2 linked regions of the Oryzias latipes genome follow. The protein of the gene in region 1 purifies or fractionates together with the protein of each later gene. This does not show direct contact. Links are inferred from orthologs where the notes say so. Each region holds a gene or a part of one and is shown on either strand. Other genes may lie near its edges.

Region 1 (3,817 bases):
AAAACCAATCTATGAATTATTGCCAAGTTCCATGACCGGGGTTTGGGCCGCCGAGGCACCCGCCCTCGCCTGCCACCCAAACCACATTGCACCGGCCTCTTTTGAGGTCTCCAACGGGTGGTGGGCCTACTCAGATCCAGGAACAACAGTGCGGTTTCCGTCCTGGTCGTGGAACAGTGGACCAGCTCTACACCCTCTTTAGGGTGCTGGAGGGATTGTGGGAGTTTGCTCATCCAGTCCATATGTGTTTTGTGGATTTGAAGAAGGCGTTCGACCGCGTCCCCCGTGGTATCCTGTGGAGGGTGCTATAGGAGTATGGGGTCTGGGGAGCCTTACTGAGGGCTGCCCGGTCTCTGTATGACCAGAGTAGGAGTTTGGTTCGCATAGCTGGCAGTAAGTCAGACCTGTTCCCGGTGGACGTTGGACTCCGGCAGGGCTGCCCTTCATCACCGGTTCTGTTCATTGTTATTATGGACAGAATTTCTAGGTGTAGCCAGGGGCCGGAGGGGGTCTGGTTTGGGGACCACAGGGTTTCATCTCTGCTCTTTGCAGATGATGGTGTCCTTTTGGCTTCGTCGGGCCGGGACCTCCAGCGTGCATTGGGGAAGTTTGTGGCCGAGAGTGCAGCGGCTGGGATGAGCAACGCTAAATCTGAGGCCATGCTTCTCGACCGAAGAAAGGTAGTTTGCTATCTCTCGGTGGGTGGAGTGTCCCTGCCCCAGGTGGAGGAGTTTAAACATGTTGGGGTCTTGTTCACGAGTGAGGGGAGACCGGAGCGTGAAAGTGACAGGTGGATCGAAGCGGCGGCCGTAGTTTTGCGGTCGCTGTATCGGTCCGTTGTGGTGAAGAGAGAGCTGAGCCGAAAACCAAAGCTCTCAATGCAACGGTCGATCTTCGTTCCAATACTTACCTATGGCTCTGCGCTCTGGGTCATGACCGAAAGAACGAGGTTCGAATACAAGTACAATACAGAACCGCTTCTCCTCCACATCGAAAGTCTGGATGCCTCCTGGACGCCTCCCTGGGGAGGTGTTCCGGGCATGTCCCACTGGGTGGAGGCCCCAGGGAAGACCTAGGACACGCTGGAGAGACTACGCCTGTCGGCTGGCCTGGTAACGCCTCGGAGTCCCCAGGAGGAGCTGGAGGAAGTGGCCAGGGCGAGGGAAGTCTGGGCATCTCTGCTTAGACTGTTGACCCCGCGACCTGGTTCCGGATAAGCGGAGGAAGATGGATGGATGGATGGATGGAATTATTGCCTTATGCAGCTCTTGTTCGGCTTCGCCATGTTTTTCCCAAACTCGCAAATCAATCTCCTCAATACTAAATACTAAACTCATCCATAAAGAAATTAAATAGAGAAAATCTGTAAATGAGCATTATTATGGATTTGTTCCAGTAATTTAAGTGCCAGTTTTACTAAAAACCTACTGAAAAACATTTACTGGTACACAAATTAAAATAGTGGCAAAAAACAGAGAAATGAATCATTTTTGTACTGCTTTTCATTCTTCAGGTGGCCATAATAAATGCTTTTATTTTTCCACTTTAAAGAACAGCATCATCTTTTCTTTAGTGGTCCATCAACAAATGAGGTTCACGACATGTGTGACATTTTGTGAGGATCTACAATAGTCTTAGTTAGCAGGTGACTCACTTGCTGTCGTCGTCTCCCAAACCGAGATCAAAGATGCGTTTGGCTCCAAGCTCCTCCAGCCTTTTGTCCACGTATTTCCCCATCGCGTTGTAGTGTTCGTACGTTTTATTTCCCAGCGCAAACACCTGGAGAATAAAGGACAACATGAAGCAACACTGGTAGCTAATGTCCACACCAGGACACGTTGATGGTGATCATGATGATGATGACTCTGCCTTCCGTTTCATCTCAGCACTGTGATAAAACAGGGAAAGGAGGAGGCTTAATGTTGCTCCAGAGCTTAATTAGTGTGTTGCTGACATGGAAGATCCTATCGAACGCACAAACACAAACAGAGAGAGCCACTCTTGCAGCACACATGCAGCTTGAATGCGAACAGAAGTGACTCGTATCTCTGCAAGATTTAGAAGTCAGAATTACTTAAAAGGCGTCTTTGCAAATGCTGCATTCCTGTTGTTACAACTGTGTCTTTCACCTTAACACAAACTTAGACCGACCATTTTCCTTCTAATCGCTACAAGAAATGACAAAAAATTATCTAAACAAAAAAGAAAAACTCAAAAGACGCCACATGTTCAGAAATATTGTAACAAACGGGTTGCTGGAGCCTATCCCAGCTACTGTGAAGCAAAGGTGGGGGTAAAGCCCGGACAGGTAACCAGTCCATCCCAGGTCTTTACATACATTCACAACAATTTAGAGAGACCGATTAACCTATAAAGCACATTTTTGGATTGTGGGAGGAAACCTGAGCAGCCAGAGAAAACCAACGCGTGCAGAAAGGACCCAGCTGGGATTCAAACCACAGCCTTCTGGCTGTGAAGTGAAAGTGCTCACAACTTCCTGACCCTGCAGCCCTGGCTTTTAGATGTGAAAGCTGGGTTCTAGAACTTTAATTTTAATCTTAATATTCTGGTATTACATTGTTATGGATTTGGCTCTTTTTTTTTAAGGGTTACTTTAGCCTTATGGAGGGTCTGCAGGGAGAAACTCACAGTGTAGTTCAGTCCAGAGAGGTCTTCATCATCGTTCTCCTGCAGCCAGTCATAGAAGTCCTGGGCGTTATCCGTCGGGTCGCCTTCACCGTAAGTGGCCATACAAAAAATAGCCAGTGAGTTCTTGATCTCAGACATACGGGCCAGTTCCCCCTGCAACCAAAACCGTCGTTTTAACCACGTTCATGTCTGCAACCTTCCGTTTTCAATAAAAAGAGGCTCCATGCACTAGGAATGCAGAACTCCTCTGACAGTTCGCGCTGTGACAGACCGATTCTCCTTCTGCAGAAGTCTAGCAAAAAGTCTCATCTCCTGTGTGCTTCTTCACTTTATTGAGGAAAAAGTAAGAACCCTGACAGTACTACTTTACAACATGAAAGTGTTAGACATGGGCCCACTGGTCCACATTACCATGGTGTACTCCTCTGGATCAGCAGCCATTCCTTTCATGCCATAGCGCTGAGCATCTTTGGACAGCCTGTTGGCAAATTCCTCTGCTGTTCCCGTCTGGGAGCCGTAGAACACGATGATGTTCTTCCCCTGTCCACAAACATAAAGAACCTTCTTTACACTGTCCTGCTAAAGCACACGGCTACAGGCCAGACCACAGCTAACTTTTCCTGTACTTTTGCAAGTAAAAAAAAAATTAAAAAAAATACTGAAAATAGAGCCTAAAGGCGTTTATTTAAACTACCTGAAGAGAGTCAGGACTGGAACAGAAGTAATAAAATAATCTAGAAAATGTTTCTGAGATTCAGAGCTTTCTATCCAGTCTGCTGTAGCCAACAGGAAAAGGACATTTAGTGCTTAGGAGCTAAAAGTAGATGAAGCTGACAAACCAATTCACTTACAGTTTTCTTCATCTTCTCAATGAAACTCGTCTCTCGTTGTGAGACTTGTCTGTATGGGGAAAAAACAAAATAAAAAACAAAAAGCGTCTGTAAACATGCAGCTGAACGTTCCACATCAGTAATTATTTAAAAAAAAAAAAACACGTGGCACACAAATAAAGAAATATATACATTTGCAAAGTAGCTCTGACACAAGAAGGCCTTCATAAACGCTTCCTAGTCATGTATTCCAACAAAAAGAGGCAATACAATGCGCATTAAAAGGGAAGAAAAAAATGTATTTCTCCTCCTTGTAATCAACAAAGCCATTTTCTCCC
Region 2 (4,564 bases), on another chromosome or scaffold:
TTTCACTTCTCCACTGCTTTCAACACCATCCAGCCTTCACTACTGAGGAGGAAGCTGGAGGATGCAGGTGTGGACCAACATCTGGTTGCTTGGACCATCAACTACCTCACAGACAGGCCACAGTTTGTGAGGCTGCGTGACTGTGTGTCTGATGTGGTGGTCTGCAGCACGGGGGCACCTCAAGGGACTGTGCTCTCCCCATTCCTGTTTACCCTGTACACATCAGACTTCACCTACGACTCCCACCACTGTCATCTGCAGAAGTTCTCAGACGACAGTGCCATTGTGGGCTGTGTATCAGGGGGGGATGAGCAGGAGTACAGGGGGGTCATCACTGACTTTGTTAGCTGGTGTGAAGTTAACCACCTGCTGCTTAACACCAGCAAGACGAAGGAGCTGGTCCTGGACTTCAGGAGGTCCCCTACACCACACTCACCGGTGAACATCCAGGGTTCAGACATTGAGGTCGTGGACACATTTAAATATCTGGGTGTTCACCTGAACAACAGACTGGACTGGTCCAACAACACGGATGCTCTGTACAGGGGGGGTCAGAGTCGCCTCCACCTGCAGAGGAGACTGAGGTCCTTTGGCGTGTGCAGACAGCTGCTGAGGACCTTTTACGACACTGTGGTGGCCTCAGTGGTCCTTCATGGAGTTGTGTGCTGGGCGGGGGGCAGTGCAGGCAGAGACTTGAAGAGGCTTAACAAACTGGTCAGGAGGGCCGGCTCTGTCCTGGGCTGCACACTTGAGTCCATCGAGGAGGTGGCGGACAGGAGGATGTTAGCTAAGCTGACATCCATCATGGATAACCCCTCCCACCCCCTGCACCAAACTGTAGAGGCGCTGACCAGCTCCTTCAGCACCAGACTGTTGCACCCTCAGTGCAAGAAGGAGCTACTGCAGGTCATTCCTCCCCACAGCCTTCAGACTGTACAACACTGTGTTACAGTGACACACTACAGTCCCAGGGGTGTTTTTCATTCACTCATTTATTTATTTACTTTTGTTGTAGTTGTTGTTGTTTATCAAATGTTCTTGTTCCTAAACGGTGTTTGATTGGTGTGTACTTTTTTACTTATCTATTTTTGGAAATAAAAAATAAAAAAAAGTATCACCTTTGCACTGGATCACACGCCACCTTTGTAGCTGTATTTATTTATAATGAGAATGTCATTTTTGCATTTCAAGGTCCTGGAGGTCCTTGCCAGTCTCCACATCGCAACCCCAAAGAAACTCTTTGGAGGGAGGAGATCCCACTCACCTGGTGTTTCCAAGGCTCAGCTCCAGAGCCCACTTCATCCTCCGCGTGGCCCCGCCTCCTCGTGTGGACAAAACCCCTCCTTGCCCCCCTGGAGACGCCATGGCAATAAATCAACAAAATTGCTTGACCTCAGAGGAAGAAAGCACCTGCAGAGGAAGAAACAGAAAAGGTTTAACTTGTGACGGATCAATGATCGTCATACATGCTGCTCCATTATCTACAACATGATTCAGTCGGAATATTTTCACCTCCAAAATATCAATATCAACCCCCGCCTATTCTGCCTCAGTGTGTGTCTATAAAGTTTTTATGTGGCCTTACAAAATAATTCCTCAATAATATCCACCCAAATCATCATAAGGACTCCTAACCACATCACCCTCATCCTGAAAGAACTTTACTCATTCTGCTCCTCAACTCTTGAACTCGCTTCTATCTGAAACATGATTCACTTCCTGTCTTTAAATCAACTATCAGAACTCTTCCTAGAACTGAAATTTTCCCCTCCATTTGTTTCCTTATCCTCTCTGTTTCCCTAAAATAGGAGTATTATTTTTATTATTTGTCTCTTGCATGTACAGTGTGCTTTGGTGTGTTTAAAAGCACTTTCTAAGTAAAATGTATTGATATTAAAAAGAGGATGTGAACATTGCTGCTGATGAGAGTAAAGACATCACAGTTGCTTCAGTGAGTCTTGAATCTGTGGTGTTGCGTAACTGTTGCAGTCTTTTTAATGTTGTAGTATTACCACTTACATTCATTCACTCCAACTACTTTAAAGTTGATTGGGTATACCCTCTCTGTTGACTATTGTATACATTATGACAATGTCTTCCTCCTGCTAGTTTGTTGTTTTCTTCATCAAAATACCTAAAAGTTTAATTATTTTTACCCTTCAACATCTTCTGCTTCAGTTTTTTTCTGCTTCCTGATCTTATTTGTTTCAAATTTCAAAATAAGAAAATAGTTGGGCTCAGGTCTGAATTCGAAACCAGGGTGGTGTCTCAGATTTGGGTCTCTGTGACCCAGTTCTCCAGACTATTCATCTTTTCAAACCTTAACTCCTTTTTGATATTATTAATATAATAATAAATAATAATATAAATTTATATTCATCATTTTTAAACATGGGTGTGGGAGTAGGATTTTGAGTGAATTCACTGCATCTAATAGACACACTTTTATTTAAAAAAAAGTCTTCAAAGAAATACATGCGTTGAATTAGTAAGGGTGAATAGCCAACGGAGTGTGCAGTATCAGAAATTAACGCAATACAAATGAACCCTTCCTTAATGCACACCCAGCAGCCAATCAGAATCGAGAATTCATCAGGACCATGGCATGGTGGAGGGACTGCGACAATTTGCTCTGACCGCCGTCATTTGCCGCAGCGACAAAACTACAGGCAGCGGCAACAAAAAGTAATAACCGTTACTAAATACCGGCAGGATACTAGATTACTTTGTCCAAACGAGCCTCGGTTTGAAATGTTTTATTTAACCGACTGTTCGGAAAAGACAACGAGCCGAGTTAACGGCGCAGATCCACTCTGTCCGGACTGAAGAATCTAAACTGAGGCTCCCCCTACCTCACGGGGACACCAGCGCACCCACGGCCGCTCTGCAGAGGCTTATTCCGCGGCACAATGTCCGAAAAGAAGAGCTGCTGTCGCTAAAACTCGACCAGTCAACAAATTTACCTTCTAGGCCCTCAATGATGACGCAGTCAGGCTGCGCAAAGGAAGTGACGTAACTACCCTTGCCCCAACCAAATAAGAGAATCTAAAACAATGTCGAGAGAAAAAATACTCACCAAGTTAAATTTAGATGAAGAATTTTTAAAAACCCGAATAAAACTAATAAAGGATTTTAAAACAAAGTAACTAAGTGAATATATTTGATTTTAGTATCAAATGCCTGATTTGAAAAGTCCATCGATTGACAAACACATTACTCCTTAGGAAATCATAAAACAAAAATATTTCTGTATTTTTAACAGTAACTGAAAATCTTTGTTTGTGAAGCACATGTAAAAGTAGTTTTGGGATTATTTCTACCAAATTAAAAGCAACAATTTTTTATCATGGATTTCATAGGAGTAAAAACAAAAGAATAAATAAAATGAGTCATTTCATATTTTTGGTAGTCTTTTATTTTTGCCGGTGGCTGTTATATATTAAATCAAAGTCAGTATCTATGAAGTTCAAACACCTGTGCGCAAAAACATAATTCTGTACAAACTCTGAGAAATTTGTGAAACAGTGCAAGTTCTATGGTCAGGTTCTGGTGAGTCACAGCGGTACTTTGCAGCACATGTACATTTTTAAAGGTTGTGGAAATATTTCCCAGCATGCTGCTGTGCTCACAATTGCTCATAAGGCTCGCGTCCTGAGGGTTACTGCTTTCTTGTTCTTCCAGCTGTGTGGCTGGTTTGGAGCAGAGCAGCTTCATCTACAATCAATACAGGTATAGAGTGAACGCTGATCACAGAAGGTGCAATGAATTGGACAGTTATTAATGATTAAACTAACTCCCATCTAGGGATAAACCAAGTACAATCTTGATTTAAAAAAAAAAAATGTAAAGTCTGGGTTGATGATCCAGTGTTGGACACACATGTGCATTTTCAGCTGGGAGGAGAGCTTTAATCAGTTTCCATGCGGGAACCTCCCAAATGGATAAATAAAGTTGTCTATCTATCTTTACCATCGAATCCCATTAGAAGTAACAACAAACTCCTTTAATAAATCCCAGCGTTTGTAATCCCCAACAGTCACTGCTGCTCTCAAGCTCTTTCCTAAATCCATGCAGGAATCCTCCTCTGGTCCCTCTCTTTGTTTCCAGACAAACCATCATTTACAGCTGACAAATATACAGAATAAATAAAAACATCAAACCTTTGGGACAAGGTATTTAGTTTGTTTAGATTGAAAATGCTGTTTCTCTGATTGTCAGTGTGAAACTGCAGATTTTATGTCCTTTAAAATGAAAGAACCATGGTCCCAGTTTCAGAAGACACACCCCACATCTGCAGACTCCCCCCCATCTCACACACACTTTAAACGAGAAAAGCAATGTTTTAAGTCTCAGCAGAGAGGAAGGGCGGAGTACAGCTGCTCAGTCTGCAGGATGGCTGATCACCGGTACAGGCTGAGTTCAGGGCTGTGGTACAGACACATGTATGAGTCACAGAGTAGGCGGCGGACCGTCTCCCGCAAGGAGGCGGGGTCCACTCTGCTCAGCTCCTCCTCTGAGAGACTGAGGTAGCGGCCAACCTCGGGACACGCCTTGACTTGGGGGA

What was found.
Region 2: the proteins of NADPH--cytochrome P450 reductase (region 1) and emc4 purify together in Homo sapiens (affinity purification with mass spectrometry; 3 studies listed by BioGRID and IntAct, with this or other methods). This does not show direct contact. The link is inferred for Oryzias latipes from reciprocal best matches to the Homo sapiens genes POR and EMC4.

The regions. Positions count from the first base shown.
Region 1 is NC_019871.2:22,326,322-22,330,138, forward strand, and holds part of NADPH--cytochrome P450 reductase, read right to left. Parts: intron 3,550-3,817; coding exon 3,501-3,549; intron 3,190-3,500; coding exon 3,061-3,189; intron 2,803-3,060; coding exon 2,650-2,802; intron 1,780-2,649; coding exon 1,655-1,779; intron 1-1,654. UniProt on the Homo sapiens protein: This enzyme is required for electron transfer from NADP to cytochrome P450 in microsomes. It can also provide electron transfer to heme oxygenase and cytochrome B5.
Region 2 is NC_019876.2:21,393,655-21,398,218, forward strand, and holds the start of emc4 (ER membrane protein complex subunit 4), read right to left. Parts: upstream 2,995-4,564; 5' UTR 2,853-2,994; intron 1,411-2,852; exon of another isoform or gene 1,393-1,410; 5' UTR 1,366-1,392; coding exon 1,265-1,365; intron 1-1,264. Other genes in the region: ubiquitin carboxyl-terminal hydrolase CYLD, read right to left, coding at 4,401-4,564. UniProt on the Homo sapiens protein: Part of the endoplasmic reticulum membrane protein complex (EMC) that enables the energy-independent insertion into endoplasmic reticulum membranes of newly synthesized membrane proteins.